Linked DNA regions of Drosophila melanogaster. The gene in region 1 interacts genetically with each later gene. Each region holds a gene or a part of one and is shown in the gene's direction. Other genes may lie near its edges.

Evidence for each region. Genes that interact genetically often act in the same process or in processes that back each other up.
Region 2: of Rbfox1 (region 1) and sens, changing one suppresses a phenotype caused by changing the other (phenotypic suppression), as found in Drosophila melanogaster (one study listed by BioGRID).
Region 3: of Rbfox1 (region 1) and bru1, changing one enhances a phenotype caused by changing the other (phenotypic enhancement), as found in Drosophila melanogaster (one study listed by BioGRID).

The regions. Positions count from the first base shown.
Region 1 is NT_037436.4:10,479,527-10,484,451, forward strand, and holds the start of Rbfox1 (RNA-binding Fox protein 1), read left to right. Parts: upstream 1-1,885; 5' UTR 1,886-2,419; intron 2,420-4,925.
Region 2 is NT_037436.4:13,395,680-13,402,636, reverse strand, and holds sens (senseless), read left to right. Parts: upstream 1-1,511; 5' UTR 1,512-1,729; coding exon 1,730-1,889; intron 1,890-2,170; coding exon 2,171-3,252; intron 3,253-5,182; coding exon 5,183-5,333; intron 5,334-5,569; coding exon 5,570-5,802; 3' UTR 5,803-6,409; downstream 6,410-6,957.
Region 3 is NT_033779.5:12,204,201-12,208,890, forward strand, and holds the start of bru1 (bruno 1), read left to right. Parts: upstream 1-1,642; 5' UTR 1,643-1,930; intron 1,931-3,508; exon of another isoform or gene 3,509-4,015; coding exon of another isoform or gene 4,016-4,690. Other genes in the region: CG31759 (uncharacterized protein), read left to right, coding at 4,016-4,690.

The DNA.
Region 1 (4,925 bases):
AGTTTAAAAATAGAATTTATTTATGTAATTTAAAACAGTGCTTGAAGAACCTGCTGTGCTGGCATAAAAAAGTATGGTCACACGTGTGCGAAGCCCCCCCCCCCCTTGGCTTTTCGCCCAGCAGTTTGGCCTCGTTTTTAAATTGAAATCTCTGCAGCCAACACTGGACATTGCCTTCATTTCCCCGCGGACAGAGAAAGGGAGAGTTGTCCCTGCATTTCTCCCGTCCTTGCGGTGCTTTAAATAATTGCTTAGAAGCCGACGAGCAGACTCAGTGGTAACAATAATAACCGCCCAAGCACTCCGACTATGATAATAATAGCAAATAGAACCTGCCGCAGATGGAAATGCCACTCGGACAGACGCCGCTCCCCTTTCTCTTACTTTTCCACATAAGCCTTTGGCTTATGACCACACCCCCCCACTGCAAATGCATTTCACTTACTCTACACACACACACACACTCGTATAGTAGAGAAAGTAAGGGCCAGTGAGAGTTTGTGTGTTTATGCTCACTTTTAATGTGCCATATAAAATAATTTAATGACCGGCCAGAGACGAGGGTGTCTCCTGGTAATGAGAAAAGCGATTGGACAAAAACGGGTGGCTGTAAATGATAATAGTGGCATATTATGATGCAGATAGTCATGACAAATGGCTACGTCGAACTTTAATTGGTAAGCGGACTTGGACTGGATCGCCATATAGAAAAGCAATTATATCTGTAATTATAAACTTATCTATTTGCCATTAAGAATGGATTACAATGTTTGAATGCCATTTGTAAAGCCATAATATCTACAAAGTATAAGTAAACAAATTTACAAAAATGACTACAAAAAAAAAGTCTTAAAAAGTACTCAATACAATTTTCATGTAAATCAACCCTTTTCCATTTTCTCTTTCTCTCCTGCTGAATTTTAAATTGTTATTTTTAAATATTTTCGTTGGGCTTTTTCTTCGAGCTTAATCTGCGGAAAATTTTCCATCGGTTGCCTTAAGTCAACCCTAATTAGGTTATTCTTGGCAATCCCTTGCTCAATCCCCTTTTAAAGCGGCCTTAAAAAACGGAATTAATTTTCCGAAATTTATATTTTTCTTTTGATTTCTTTAGATTTTTGGTTTTGCTTTCGTTCTTCGTTCCCGATTTTCGTCCTTCCACTTTACTGTCCTGGTCATTTTCTACAAAATAGTTGCGCTTTATTTCCAGGCAACTTCGTCGCTCAAGTGACAGCTGTCCTCACCTCCACTTCCGCTAGAATGTCAATAAAAATTCAATTACGTTTTCCGCCAAAGAAAAGTTGCTGCTGAAAATACGTTTTCCTTATAGCCTTCTGTTTCCATTTAAAATTGCCTCTCTTTGTCGAACGGAATTTGTTTGCCAGCCTGATCGATTTGTGATGCTGGGCCGTGGAAATGTGGAAATCAGAGACTTGGGCACTTATACTTAATGGCCTAATTATGTAACCAAACGCCCACACACAAATAGGCTGAGTAAATAATCATAATAATCAGCATTTTGGCGGGGGAAAGAAGAAACCATAAACTTCTCGGGGTTCAAATAAAAATAAATTGTGCGACTAGGCTTGGGCAATTTGGCGGAAATGGTTTTCTGCCTTGAACACATATGTTTATAAGATTTATTCTGTTTTTCTGCTTATTTTTTGTGGTTAAATAGTTGGCCAAGTTTATGCTGATGATGCCGTAGGTCGTTGTGCATTAAACCAAATTTAATGTTACCTTTTATCAGGTGGCATTAAAGAGCTCTTTCACCAAAAATATACATTTTTCTCATCCCTCAAGTAAGCATCAAACTGTTATACTGACTGTAGTGTTATACGGCAAAGGCTGCTGCATACTTACAGGCTCTTTTGCGCAAAATTTCAGTCTCCCATTGCAAGTGCTCACGTGAGGACGGAAAACATTTTGCTCATCGCTTTCGCCTCGCGCATTGGCAAGTCGCGTAAAATTCTCGTGTTAACAGGAAAAACGTCACAAATTTTTCAAAACCACCCCAAGTCCCATTACCCGCAGTGGGAAAAACCTCAAATTCCTTGGGCTATCCGTATCAATCAACGACTAAAGGCTTAGTGTCCCTTTGTGATTGTGTGTGCTTTTTGTGTGTGCACTGTGTATTTCGTTGTGCTGCCGGCTTCAATTAGCAGCTTTTCCTCATTCTGCCCGCTGCTCTTGTGTGCGTTAGATTAATGAGGCAAAAGTGTTTTGTCGTGTCGTGCGTTAAATATTTAATACAATATCAAATAAATGTTGCATAAGCCGCCTGTCATTTAGCATCTAGTGCCAAAAGCAAAAAAAAAAAGAAAACACAAAAACGTGTGTTTGTTTCGTGTGTTTACCACAAGTAATTCGGACAGCAAACGGATTCTTTTTTCACGATTCACAAGAGCACGTCGATCAAGTAAGCCTTAGCTATTAAATATCACAGAAATAAAAATGTATCCCATTTAGCACATTAAGTTACCCATTTGAACAGCTTTTATTGGACTAGTCTTCCGCTGAGATATCTTGAGAATTTGCCCATTTCCCAAACGCATTTAAAACATTTTTATTGCCCATTTTTGCTTTATGTCCCGCATTAAAACATCTCCCGCTACGTAAAGATAATTTTGATTTGATATTCGTGTAATTTTTCCATTTGTTATTTGCCCGACTTCCATTGTTGATGGTCTGGCAGGGAATTTCGATTTGCGTTTACCCTTCATTTATTTTCAGCTGGAGATGCAAATAATGGTAGAAATGCCCGCAAAAATACTTTTACAGCAACAGGACTCCGGGGCCGATTTTCATTTCAAATTGCTCACATTAAGGGGCCACCCCCCCCCCCACCGGGCATCACAATCTCCCCCCTTTTATGGCACTCACATACCCTGTATCTGTGCATATATCCCCTTATTACCCAGCGCAGAGTACGAAATTAATTGTAACCAAACGTTTTGCTGCTTGCCGCAAACTTACTTTTATACTAGTTCATTTGCCACGCCCCTATCCCCCACGGAATGGACGCACAAAGACAACTAAAAGGGTATACACGCACAGCAACACTGAGAGAAATGGGTTCTGCATCGATAGTTATAGTTTTTAAGCCAAAATGTATGCTTATATTTTCTATTGCTTAATTTAAGACTTCTTTTTAGTGACTTTGAGCCTTTACTTTAAATAACTTTAAACTTTACTTTAAATAACAAAATCGAAGTTGTGACAACAGTTTTTCCTGCGTGAGCTTATACAAACACGTGCATGTACATGTGGAGCAAGAGGTAGCTAGCATCCCAACTAAGTAAATAATGCGTAAAACAAGTCAAGCGTTTTACAAACTCACCCATTTCGCCATCCCGTTTCCCCGTTAAACAAAGGGGGTTTCCACTGCAAAACGGGGAGTTTCCCCCATTTAGAAACAGCAGAAACAGTCAATTGTAAAATTGCTGCAGCCAACAAAGCGTGGCAAGGAAGCTAAGCGAGTGGCTCAGACTGTTTCCATAGGTAGTTGTTGCCCGATGTTGATGACGGCTAGGATTGCCGGATTCCCGGCACAAGAATCTCCACCGTATGTAATTCATTATTATGCTGACTGAGGCTGGAAGGCACTGACGGTAGAAGCCAGAAGCAGGAAAAAATATTTGCGCACATGTGGCTAGAGTTTCCATCACTTCAGCGTGCTGCTGTTATTCTTGTTAAGGCTAAAATTGTCTGTCACTTTGAGACTTCCGTCATCTGCAGGATAAAAGCTGTGGGCGAAAATATGCGAGCGAAAAATGAGACTCCACATTTTGGTTGTATGCTAAATACTTCACGGTCCACGGTCCTGTTTATGCAACAAGGATGTCTTTGAAAATATCAACGTTGGTTCGCAAAAAAGGATACCTATTGTATATATCGGGCTTAGAAAAATAGGGGATTTTAATACTAAAAAGTTTTAAAAAACTTAAAACTTTCGTGACATGTGAAGATGGCTCTCATTTATCAACGCTACAAAAGTAGCTCAAAATGGCCCTTTTGAAAATATAAGGACATGAAAACGATCAAATATACCACCTGTGTCGCAGTCAAAATGTAACAACAATTGAGAACAATAAACAAATGGCACACAAAATCAAAGTTTGGTTCGCTTATCTTTGTTTGACTTCTCTTCACTTTGACCCACCAAAAAGTTTTTATTTTTTTATAATGTCCTCGAAAAATGAGCGCCATAAATCATGGGGCGTAAATATGCCACCCCCATTTATCTCGTCTAACAAAGGGAAAACTTGCACCGTAAATTTGTATAAGCAGCAATTACTTAAAAAACTCCGAACCTTGACTTGTTTAGCCAACCAATGAAAAACTCTATTGTCAACTACAATATTTTTCCACAGCTCCATTTGCAGTTATTTACATGAGCAGATCCACATTTTTGGGTGGCAGATGGGTGCTGTGCCTGATATTTTTTTTTATGCTTACTTGCGACATCGCATTTTTGCACAAGACTTCTAAACTATATTTCGGACAATATGCAACATGATATTTTTCATGCTTATTCAACAGAAAAAAAATGAGAAGAGATTGCACATACGTTCCTCACAGAATTTCAATAAAATAGAGTAGGAATTTATGTGCACGATATGTTTCCGAGATTCTATGAGCATGTAATTTGTGGGTATTTCTGTCACAGTTTATATGTACAAAAATGTGCATTGCAGTATGCAGAGATCTAATGCTTTCCTTTTTTTTATTACTCAACTCATTTTGAAACTAGCCTTTTTAAATGAAATTGCCAAGCAGTATATACTTATATTATTGAATATTGATTTATTTAATTATTATTTGAAATGAAAAGTATTTTATTCCTTCCATTTTGTAACCCCTTTTCATATCCTTGCAAATAATTTGTCTTATTATGCTCCCCACTTTCGGGCATCATCCATCTT
Region 2 (6,957 bases), 2.9 Mb from region 1:
CTACCAACTCAGGAGGAGGACCCCGAACTCTCATCAAGGATAAGCTCGGAAAAAGGTGCATCGAGCGGTAGAGGGAGAAAGTGGCAGGTGCTCAGTCGTCCTATCTGAGTGGTTTAATAGCTACGATCCAACGAGAAGATGGGGACTTTATGGCTTAGAGTTTGGTATTGGTTTTAAATTGACTGACAAAAGAATTCAGTCTTTTAATTTTATTGAAATGCTTTAGGAAAATACGACGAACTGCAAAGTTTGCATTGAGAAATTTAACAAAAACTTTGTTGAAAGTTAATGTTCTGAAACCAAACCAAACTATTTGTTAAAACGGTTTTAAATGGGAAATCTGATATTTTGATAGCTATTAAATAAAATCTGTCCTAATCTTATGTATTTAAATGTAACATTATTATAATCAAATATGTCATTTTGGTAAGGTAGATTTTATATAGAAATATAACAAAAAAAATTCTACAATAATTTAAATAAAGTTTATATATTTGTGCATTGGTTGTGAAGTAGGTTTACGTCAATCCTCTAAAATGTAATAACACTTTTTATGGATGAAGTCTAAAGCTTAAAGATTAAATTCACGATGTTGCTTTAAACTATTTACCCTTATTGGGAGAAGCGCAAATAAAAATGAATTTAAACTTAATTTCTCCTATATTTTACTCGCAATGTATTTTTAATAATTAATACAAAAATTAATTTTCATCACATTCAAAATTAGGAACCCATTTGTAATCCTTGTCAAATCTAAAGGTAATCTAAACAGTATCTACAAACATGGAGAGTTGCCACGACAGATGTTAGATCCTTGGATTCATCCACCTAAATATTTGTATGCTACCCCGCCCCATCCCGCCCTCGTCCTCTCCCCCCTTCCACCGATCAGCAGTGAAATCCTCTGCCGATTGCTGGCCCTCTCTCGCTTCTTCTCCCTTGGCCAAAGTACCGATCCCGATATTCCTGAGCCAACAACAGTTGGTGGCAGCAACAGAAAGAGCAAAGGCAATTGTAACTGTTACAGGGCAGCGGGAAAAGGATAACAAACGCCCGCCAAACTTTAAGTGCATACCAATTAGTAGGGAAACGCGTGCTGGAAAACCAGTAGTAGATGGGCCAAGAGGATACGAACGCAGGGGGTTGGGGTATCGAGATCGCCAGGGGACTCCTAACTGTGCGTCTTGACCCATACAACATGGAACACAGGACTGCAACTGCCGCCAACTGCTGCCAAAGGTGAAAAACCAGAGTTGGCAACACGAACACCAACACCAACAATACATTGCAGGGCTCTCGAGAGCCACCACCAAAAGAGTCAACACCAATACACCGAGGGCTCGTTTTGATTCGGCTTGCTGCCGCACTCACACAGTGCCACAAGTAACCACAGTCGCACACAAAAATAAAAAAAAGAGAGCTCGATTTGTACCTTTTTTTCGGGCCAAGTCGCTTCACCGTTGGCTCAATTTAGAACTGAGCCATCGACCAAAGATTCAGTCAGGTGCGAAGCACCGAGCGATACGGACGTGTTCGTCTCCAGTGAGTCAAGATAAAACCGCACTGAATAAGACCCATCGAAGATCCGTTCGAATCCAAGATCACAACGCCAAGAAAGTGAGATTTGTGCAGTGAACAGTATTGAGAAAAATCACAATCCAAAGACTGTTAAAGCAAATACGTAAATCAGATCCAGTGAGATTCCAAAAAGTAAAGATCCAGAATCAAAATGAATCACCTATCGCCGCCGCCATCGCCGCACTCCCAGCAGCCGAGTCCCGCGGGATTGGGCTGCCATGGAGCAGCTCTGGACAAGCAGTGGATGCAGCGGGCATCCGCCTTCAACACTGTGATAGCCTCCGCCGCAGCACAGAAACTCAATGGTCGAGGTGAGTTCCCGATCTGGATTGACAGAAAAATATATGGGGCAGTAAAGATAGCAAAAAGATTAGCTTATAGCTTTTTAATCGTTTCGAATTGTATTTAAAAGATCACTCGATTTAAAATCAAAATGTTAACACTTTCAACAGATCAGAAAAATTATGTTAACTTTACTGTAGTTCTTACCAATACAAGAGTAACTTTATATTGATAGGCATCCTGAGGATACTTTTCCTTCCTAATCTTAATCACTACTATTCAACTGATTCGTTAAATTTGCATTTCATAGATCTGCCCTTTTTGTACAACCCGCTGCTCTACTCGAGTGCCCTACTGTGGCCCCAATTTTTGTTGTCCTCGGCCACGGCTCTGGGTACACCACTGACCCCCATGACCCCCAAATCGCCCGCCTCTGTGGTTTTGGGTCAGCGGGATCGTGACTTTGCCTTGACGCCCGAAAAGGAGCATGAACTCCAAATGAACAATAACAATGAGAACAGCAAGCAGGACTATCAGGAGCAGGATGAGGATATGCCACTAAATCTAAGCACCAAGGAGCGCATCACATCGGATGATTCCAACCGAGATCAGTATCACAGCAGCAGCAACAACAGCAGCAGGAGCAGTTCCAGCAGTGAAGTGGAGCAACTGCATCCGATGACCTCGCTGAACGTTACCCCGCCTCCCCTGAGCGCTGTGAATCTAAAGAGTTCGAGTACACCACAGCAACAGCGCCAGAGATCGCAGGGTAACATCATCTGGTCACCGGCCTCGATGTGCGAGAGATCGGCGAGAAGGGAGCAGTACGGCCTGAAGATGGAGGAGCAGGGCGATGAGGAGGAGCACCAGGTGGATCCTATTGTGCGAAAGTTCAAGTATGAGCGCAGAACTGCATCCATATCCTCGCTGCAATCGCCGATCTCCTCGCTGTCCGCTCCCGCCTCGAATGCCGTCCAGGATCTGGAGTTCGAGGTGGCCCAACAGCAGTTGTATGCCCATCGCAGCGCATTCATGGCCGGATTGACGGGCAACAATCTGGAGCTGCTCACCCAGCACTTGAAGCTGAAGAGCGAGCAGCCGCAGCAGCAGCAGCAACAGCATCGCATCAAGGACGAGCAGCAGCAGGATAACCGCTCGGCAGCGGCACTCATGAATTTGGTGGCAGCCGCCGAATTCGGCTACATGCGTAATCAACACCAACAGCCGCAGCAGCAGCAGCAACAACAGTTGCATCACCAGCAGCAGCCGCAGCAACATCAGCATCAGCAGCAACATCCTGACTCGACGGCCACAGATGTTGCGCGTCGTTCGTCCTCCTCGTCATCTTACCAAGGAGAAAACGAAGAGAAGCGCAGCGGCAGGAATTTCCAGGTAAGCAAACTCAAACAGGATAAACGCGTCGAGGGGTAGGGAAATATGAAGAGGAAATCGAGGGCAAATCGCTTGAAAATCTCTGAGCCCCCAGCCCGCTTTAATGGGCTTATCACGTGTCCTGAAGGACCATGATCTATAACCCAAAACGAATACTGTTCGTATCATTGCATAAGGTTGCGTGTCCTCGACAATTCCCCTGTGTTAATTGTTTCATATTTTGTCCGTGCGGGTTTTAATTGTCGCCGAGCCGAAAACCCCACCAATACCACTTTCAATTTGGAAAAGTGGCACAGCAAATACTGTCATAAAGTTGGTAATACAAGCCAAACCGATAGAGCTCTATGGAAATTCAATTAAGTCCCATCGAAATCACGCAATTAGTTAATCAAATAATTTTGATTAGCGCCAGTGCGGTGGGGGGCATAACTCGCCCTCGAAGATTTATGTACAAATTACAATCATAATAATTCGATATTGGATTGTGCAAAAGGTAAGAGGGCACACGACCCTCAGGAATTTGAGACGACTTACCCTAATAGGCCTTATGCCTACCCCGATGTCATATTGCGTTTATATCCATCAACACCCGCCGCGAGTCCTTATTTTTTTTTTTTTTAACATCTTTTTCCAGTTTTTTTTTCACACATTAAAGGGTCAGAGTGAAATGCGATAGGTTTTCGGGCTTCAGTACCGGACCGACATATGGTCAAAAAGCCGACGAAGACAGTTGCCAGAGTCCTTTGCGCAGGCGCAGTCACTGTTCTTCAGCTGTTTATGTATAAAATCGAATTTTTTCTGTAATTCGTGCTTTACATCTGTTCACCATTGGAGGCCCACCCGGCTGACTCAGACTTTGGGGTTTCTCCTTAACTCTTTTTTTGTTTCCCTGCTCGTTTTTTCTTTTTTTTTTTGCCTTTCGAGCTTTGCCAACTTCCGTTCCGTTGTCAGAGCTAAGCAAATTGACATTATGGCTCAGGCAGTTGAGCGCAGCTTAACAATAGAGCAACTAATTGGGTCTGAGTCTAGCCAATGTGTGTAGTGGATATGGTCCACGCGAATGCAATGCGCAAATAGAAAATCCCAAAAACAAGGCTAAAAAAAAACGTAAAAAATAAAAAAATAAGAGAACATAAAAATCAATAAGAAAGAAATTTTAAAAAACCGACACTTGTGTCAATTTACAATTACGCGTAGACCATGCGGGTTTTTCAAAAAAAAAATTGTCTCACATTTTTTTCACCCATTTCTGTGTTTTACTTTTCGTTGTTTTCATGTTTTCGTGTTTAATATAAATGTCGCCCACGTAGGCCGACGATTTGAGTTGTGTTATGTCAATGTTTGGTTACTTGCAACGTTGCTGCAACTGGCAAACTGTTCAAACATTTAATCTGACAACCGAAGATGTTACAGCCACTGGATTCGTCCAATCCCCGCGATCGATTCCCCGTGGATCCCAGCTGTGTTTGGCCCACAAATACTGCGGTATATACAATGTATGTACATATATGCATGGCTAAAGCTCCCTGGAAAGTGTCTCACTTGAGATTTAGCATTGGGCCGAGATATTTACCTAGCTGGTTTCAGCGCTGAGAAATGGCTAAGGTTCTAGATTATTTGTCGCCTGGATGTGGGCTAACCAAGTTTGGCTTGGTTTGGGTTTTCCCTTGTCGTCACTTGTCTAACAAATATTTGAGCACTCACAAATCTAGTTTAATTCATGTTGCCACTGCGAATTTGGCTCAGGCACACAAAAACGGTGAATTTATATATAAATTCTTTTCTGATTTTTTGATTATTTGGCTTTTTGGTGTGAATATGCTCAAGCTGTGCAAATATGGGGTATTCTGAGTTCCAATAATCATGACTCGTTCTGTCTGAATGTGGTGTTAATAATGTATTTTTCTATTGTCTATGTCTTTCTTTTTAGTGCAAACAGTGTGGCAAGAGCTTCAAGCGTTCGTCCACCCTGTCCACACATCTGCTCATCCACAGCGATACACGGCCATATCCCTGCCAATATTGTGGCAAGCGGTTCCACCAAAAGTCGGACATGAAAAAGCACACGTACATACATACCGGTAAGTTGAATATTCGGTGAAATCAAAGCTAGTCCATGGGGAGAGTATCCAACTATTCCTCGGCAAATGTGTCAGAACGTGGTGCAAACAGAGCCACCCTTGAGCACACACACAGATCCCTATCGCCTTTCAATTTGTCTAATTGCTGTAAAGCTGCCGCCGCCTCTCGGCCACAATTAATAAACTTTGAAGCGGCATTTAACTAATTGTGTTTATTGATTTTCCTGCGATTCCAGGCGAGAAGCCACACAAGTGCACCGTGTGCCTGAAGGCCTTCAGCCAGAGCTCCAACCTGATCACGCATATGAGGAAGCACACGGGGTATAAACCCTTCGGTTGCCACCTTTGCGATCAGTCCTTCCAGCGCAAGGTGGATCTGCGACGTCATCGAGAGAGCCGCCATGAGGAGGCTCCGCCAGTGGAGGACCTGAAGCCCCTGAAGATGGAGGTGAGCAGCAGCAGCTGCTGACCGAGGCTAGGCGGCAATCTCTGATCCAGGAGATCCCAGTATTAGCTAAGCAGGACGAGACACACACTCAAAACCAGATGATGATGATGATGATGATGATGATGAAGGTGGAGCAGATCACAGTTGGCCCTAAGTCTAAGTCGTTGCTATGAAGCCAAAGTTTGTTTTGTTTAGGCCTTCGCAAAGATTTACCTAATCGTAAGAATTATTGTTAAAACATATTAGCTAAGATACTGCCTTAAGTCTGTACATAGTTATCCCAAACAAGACTCTTTTTTATAGCCGTTAAACCCTAGCTTAATGATTAATCTAATTTATTGCATAAAGCGTTTTTGATTTGATTCAAACTTAACCCAAAATTGGCAGCTAAACGTACCAAAGAACAACCTCAAACAAATGAACTACCACTTGGCGACCACTTGTCTAAATTTAGTTTCCTAATTTATTTAAGTTTATTGATGGCATCACCCACATTTATTTATACGATCTATGCGAATTTTTAGTTTATTCTTATTTTGTAATAAGCCCAATGACTTATTGTAATTATATTTATTAGGAGCGTATATGATTTTTGGAAAATAAAGTTGAAAGCTAAAAGAGAACAAACAAAATATATGGGTTTTTTTAAGGATAAAATATCTAGAATGATTGATTGATTCCTTTATACAAAATCCTCAGGCATATCAGAAAATACACATGATATGATTAATACATATGTATATATTTTTGGTATGTATTATTAATTCAAAAAGTTTTTACATCGGGTGGGTTAAATATCTCATTATTACGATCAACCCCTTGAGCAGCTGAGAAATTCCTTAGTATCAAGGACACAGCCTCCTCCTTTGAAGTACCACATTTTGATACAAATTGTCCAAAGCGCTCCAAATATTTTTTCGGGGGCCTGTTCGTAAACCTGATTTTATAGATGAATTTCTGCACGTACTCAATTGATGGGGAATAAGTTGCTCCTGTTTCGGGTGACGCGGTGATCTTTGATCTGTGCCCAATGTGGCATTTGGGGAATGCCCTTTGTAAGTCGCCGCGTTACAGCAGGTACACATCCCCCTCGGCCCACTTGCATGCCCGATCCTTGGGGAAAACGCCAATAAGTGTTCGAAGTTCGAACTAATTGCTGACGAAATAAAGTGAGAA
Region 3 (4,690 bases), on another chromosome or scaffold:
AATACACGAGGAAAGTGCTCCACTAAAAAATAGGAGGGAAATGCGGGAGCAGGAGCCACTTAAGATGCTTAGCGCCATGGCAAGCGAAAATAATGACGCTCATAAAAACTAACTAAACACCAAAATAAAGCAAATATATATAGGTATATATATATATACATATATTTGTTGGGCTGGCTTTTTTAAGCTGGAACGACGCTCTCTGAATGACAACGATAATGATGTGCGATAATGTTTGTTGTTTCTTCGTTTGCTTATTTATTGTACTTATTCGTTTATTGTACTTTTTCATCCCACAGTGCTGGAAACAATGATAATGATAATAATGAAGATGTTATTGTGTTTCTCCTCTTTGTTGTTGTGCAATCTAAGACAACTGTCAAAGACTTTGCCAAAGGATTAGTCGACTCGGCGCCTTTCGCCCTGCTATACCCTGTAAAAGTTGCGCTAAGGATATATTACACATGGAGTAATTTGGATCAAATATGGGTTACCAATTTTTTTTTTTAATTTTTAATTTTTTTTAATATCATGTTGCATTTACGATAAAGAAATTTGCAACTGAGAGATTTTTTTTTGATTAATGACAAAAGGACATTTCAAGAAAAGCCTTTTTGAAATCGATTTAAAATTTAATTCATTTGTAAATGGTACTATAAAGAAGTTTTAAGTTAGGGATATATTAGGATATTAGGGATATTATCATATTAGGGTTTTGGAAATTGAAATATGAGGAGAAAATATATAATATAATAATATATAAGTAACATAATCTTTATAAAATTTGTTAACGTTTATAGTAGTATTTATTTTGGAAATTTTAAATCTACAACCATATAGCAATGATTTCAAACAATTCATGTAAATATTCTTCGAAATATTCATGCAAATTTGAAAGAAAGACTCCATGTAATCATCAAAAAGTAGCTTCCTACATTTTCTATAAACAACACAATAAGATACGGGGTATTCTCGCAGTCGCAACGAGTTTGTGTATCTCGTGACTGGTGTCTTTGCTCCTTGCCATTACTTTCGACCTGCTCCTATCGCAGTCGTAATTAAAATTGCACCAGACGTAGTGAAGTTTTGTACTTTCTTCGGCATCAGATAGTCCTGGAAGCCTCCCCTTCAATTTAATCGCTTTGACTGCATGCTGGTTGTAATTTATTTATTGCCGAAAATCGTACCCTCTACTCTTGATTTGCCCCTGCCGCCGCTCGTTGTATTTTTTAATTGATTAGAAACTCGAGTTTTGTTTTCTTTCTTTGCCTTCAATTGGCATCGAGCCAGGAAATTTTCAGCCTCATTGAATTTCTTTCGGTTTTTTTTCCACTCACCCTCTTGACTTTCTTTCTCGACTCGCCAATTTTAGCAAATTACTTTCTTGGCAAAACTTTTATATTTGTTGATTCATTTATTGCTAATGTCAAACGTTCGACTTGGTGAGCTGAACGACTGATATGAATCAGTGATAGCAATCAATTATGGTATCCAATTCATTTGCTTTTTTTTAAATTTAATTTAGTTTTATTTTAGCAAAGTTCATAAAAAATAAAAAATGAACAGCGAGAGCTTTGCATCCCAGTTGGCTGCGCTAACGCTTGTCAAATCGATTCAATATAGATTTTTAGTTGTAGTGTTTCCAAATCAGATTGTGTAACGTACATATAATTTTATAAAAGTTTATCAATTTTTCGGCTTATTGGTGGCAAAATTCTCAATGTGTTAACCTTTCGGCCGTACCGCGTCACTCTTCCATGCTTTTATCAATAATTCTTAAGAAGAAAATCTACAAAAAAATATACAAAGTATTTACCCCCACAAGACTACAAATGAAATAGCCCAGTTATCCGCTTTCGGCTACAAATTCTACAAGTGTAAAAAGGAAAATAAGAAGAAATATAGCAAATTCCCGCAGCAAGTGAAATAGGTGAGTGCAAGAAAGTTCTTCAAGTGTTCAGACCAAAAGCGGATATTCTAGTTGTCCTTGAGTGTGAATGGAAAGTGGGTTGGTGTGCTGTGAACTCGTCCTGTGTGCTGTGTGTGTGTGAGTGGGTGTGTGCGACACGGTGCTTGGGCTTCCACGCTGCATGACAGATTATCGCAAGGACCTTGCCGTCCTTTGAGTGTCCTCGACGGTTATTGAAATTGCTGCAATTGAGTTCGGAGTGCTCGAAGCTATTTAATTGCTGCCGCCTGCCTCCAAGAACTTGCTTTTCACCACTTCTGTCGAAGATGAGCTAACTATTTTGCTGATTTTTGGTGGATTTTAATCTTTATATCTCAGAAATATACTATCGAATATAATCATCTATACTTAATTTCAATATAAATGCTGGTAAATTTTTGAAAAGTGTATATAATATTGCTTAAAAAATGTTCAATATGTAAAACTCTTAAATGACTTATAGTTAGTTTCTAGTCCTTGTTCCATCCACTGTGTCTAATCGAAGCTTTTTGGCCATCTCTGGTTCGGGTCAATAGGAAAGGAGTAGGGAACAGAAGGAGCAGCTAAAAGTCCTCTTCTTTTTCCCGCAGGTGTTGTAAGCCAGCAACGAGTCCTGGAACTGAGCCAAAGCTGCTTTCTCTCAAGTGCTAACTAATTTCGTTGTTGTCCTTACCGCCTCTGCTCCACATCTCGGGCCCAAGGATGCTCTCTGCATCCTCGGGCTTAGCCTCATTCCCTGGCTCATCCTCATCATCGGCGTCTTCCTGCAGTTTCGTTTTTGGTGTCAGCAACATTTCTTCAACTGGTTTCGTTTGCCCTGCCAGTCAGGTTGTTGTCCTTTTTGGTCCTCTGTGTCCTTTATAGAGTTCTATGCGATTTTTCTCTTGTTTTTGATTTTTATTTTTTCATTTGCTCCTTCGTAGTGCAATCTTTTTGGCAAACTCTTGTGTGGCGCACAGTTGTTGACTCTGTTTCGGGGCCAAGCCAATTCCTTTTTGGCCTGGCCAAGTCATCTCTTGGCTTGTTTCGGCGTTTTATGCACTTGTGTGCTCCATACCTTTGGTCCACCCCTTTGCCAAATACGCTCTACACATATGATCTGGCTTCTGTTTCGAATTTTTATGGCCGTCGTCTCAGTTGTCCTTTCTTAACTTGGCCGAAAGTTGAGTTTCCTTCGTTGGGGCAAGATGTCTCATTTGGATCGTAACACTTAGCTTAATGTTTACGACGTTTGCCGTGAAAATAGTTTTCAACTGAAGTGAAATAGGAGGTTTTATAGTTTTGTTCGGGTGTATATTTTGCGAATAATAATGTTCCTCCTAATGACCACAAAAAAGGAATAAACGTTTCCTATATAGAAATTTTTTTTCTATTTCATAGAAAAAATCTTCTATTCTTCGATATGTTCAATTTCAGATCATAGCAACTCTTCATATATTTATCAGCTTTATAATTTTATGAAAAAAAGTAATATTTAAGTGAAATCTTTTTGCTTTCAAGATTTGAAATTAAATAAAGCTTTTATTAAAAGCTTTTGCGTCAAAGCTTCAACGTTGCTAATGGCAGAAGCTCTCTCAAGATCAGCTGTTTCTCAATGCCGAGCATGTGGTTGGTTTCGTTGTGAATGCCAAAAACAACAGCTGATCGCGCGGCGTGGCAGAGCGAAAAAGTAAAAATCTCTCTTCGTTTTTATCGAAATCGGCGCAGTTTCGCCTAATTTCTGCGGTGTTTTCGTGCAACACGACTGTTTGCCGATTGTAAATAGGTGTAAAACAACTTAAATGTGATTAATTTTGCAACTAAATCTGGACAAGTGAGTTGTTACGACATCGGTGCACCAAGTAAAGTTGTCTAACCCAAAATTTTCCCAGATAAAACGGCGAAAAACAAGTCAACTAAGAGAAGTTCTCTTCTTCAACGCCGATCTTCGCTCCAACATTTGCAACATTGATGGGGTTTTTTTTGTTTAAAAACATAGTTCGCAATTCTGATAAATTATTCGGAAATAAAACTCCAACTAGAGTTTCGCTATTGTCCAGATTTTGTGGCACTTCCTTGGCTGGTAAAATGGAGAAGGTTTATTTGAGAAATGCAAGTGATACCAAAGAATTGGACATTGTGTTTCGCTTTGTGAATGAGAATTTGAAAATAAACCGGGAATTCAATTTCCGTCGCCAGATGAATGAGCCCATTGATGCGATATTGGCCAGGATTCAGAGTAATATTATTGGCAGGCTTGCAAAGTCCTGCAAAAAATCAAAAATCAAACCGCCGGCAGAAATCAATGTTAAACTTCTGAGTGACAAATATGGTGAAAAATTCAATGAATTAACATTTGAGGATCTAGTCGTCACCCAAGATATCAGCAATGTAAAACTGCAGGTATTAGATACGGTCTACGATTTGGTGTTCAATCCACCGTGGATTTCATCCCTAAAATTTTTGCCCTCATGCATATTGGCAGGATTTGTAATATACCCCACCAATGTTCAGATACAATTCGGAGAACGTCAGTTCAGCAAAGCAGTTTGGTTCAAGGCCAAAAAGCCCACAGACACCGATTGGGAGGTGTGCGGAGAAGGATTTCAATATCTAGTGACTCCTGAGGATATTGGTTACCATTTGAAGTTCGTGGTGACGCCGGGTAATGCACTGGGAATGACGGGTCCTGTGGTGGAGAAGATAACCAACTCTGCAGTGCAGGAATCTCCCGGGCGTTGTCCATTCCAAGATCGCCAAAGG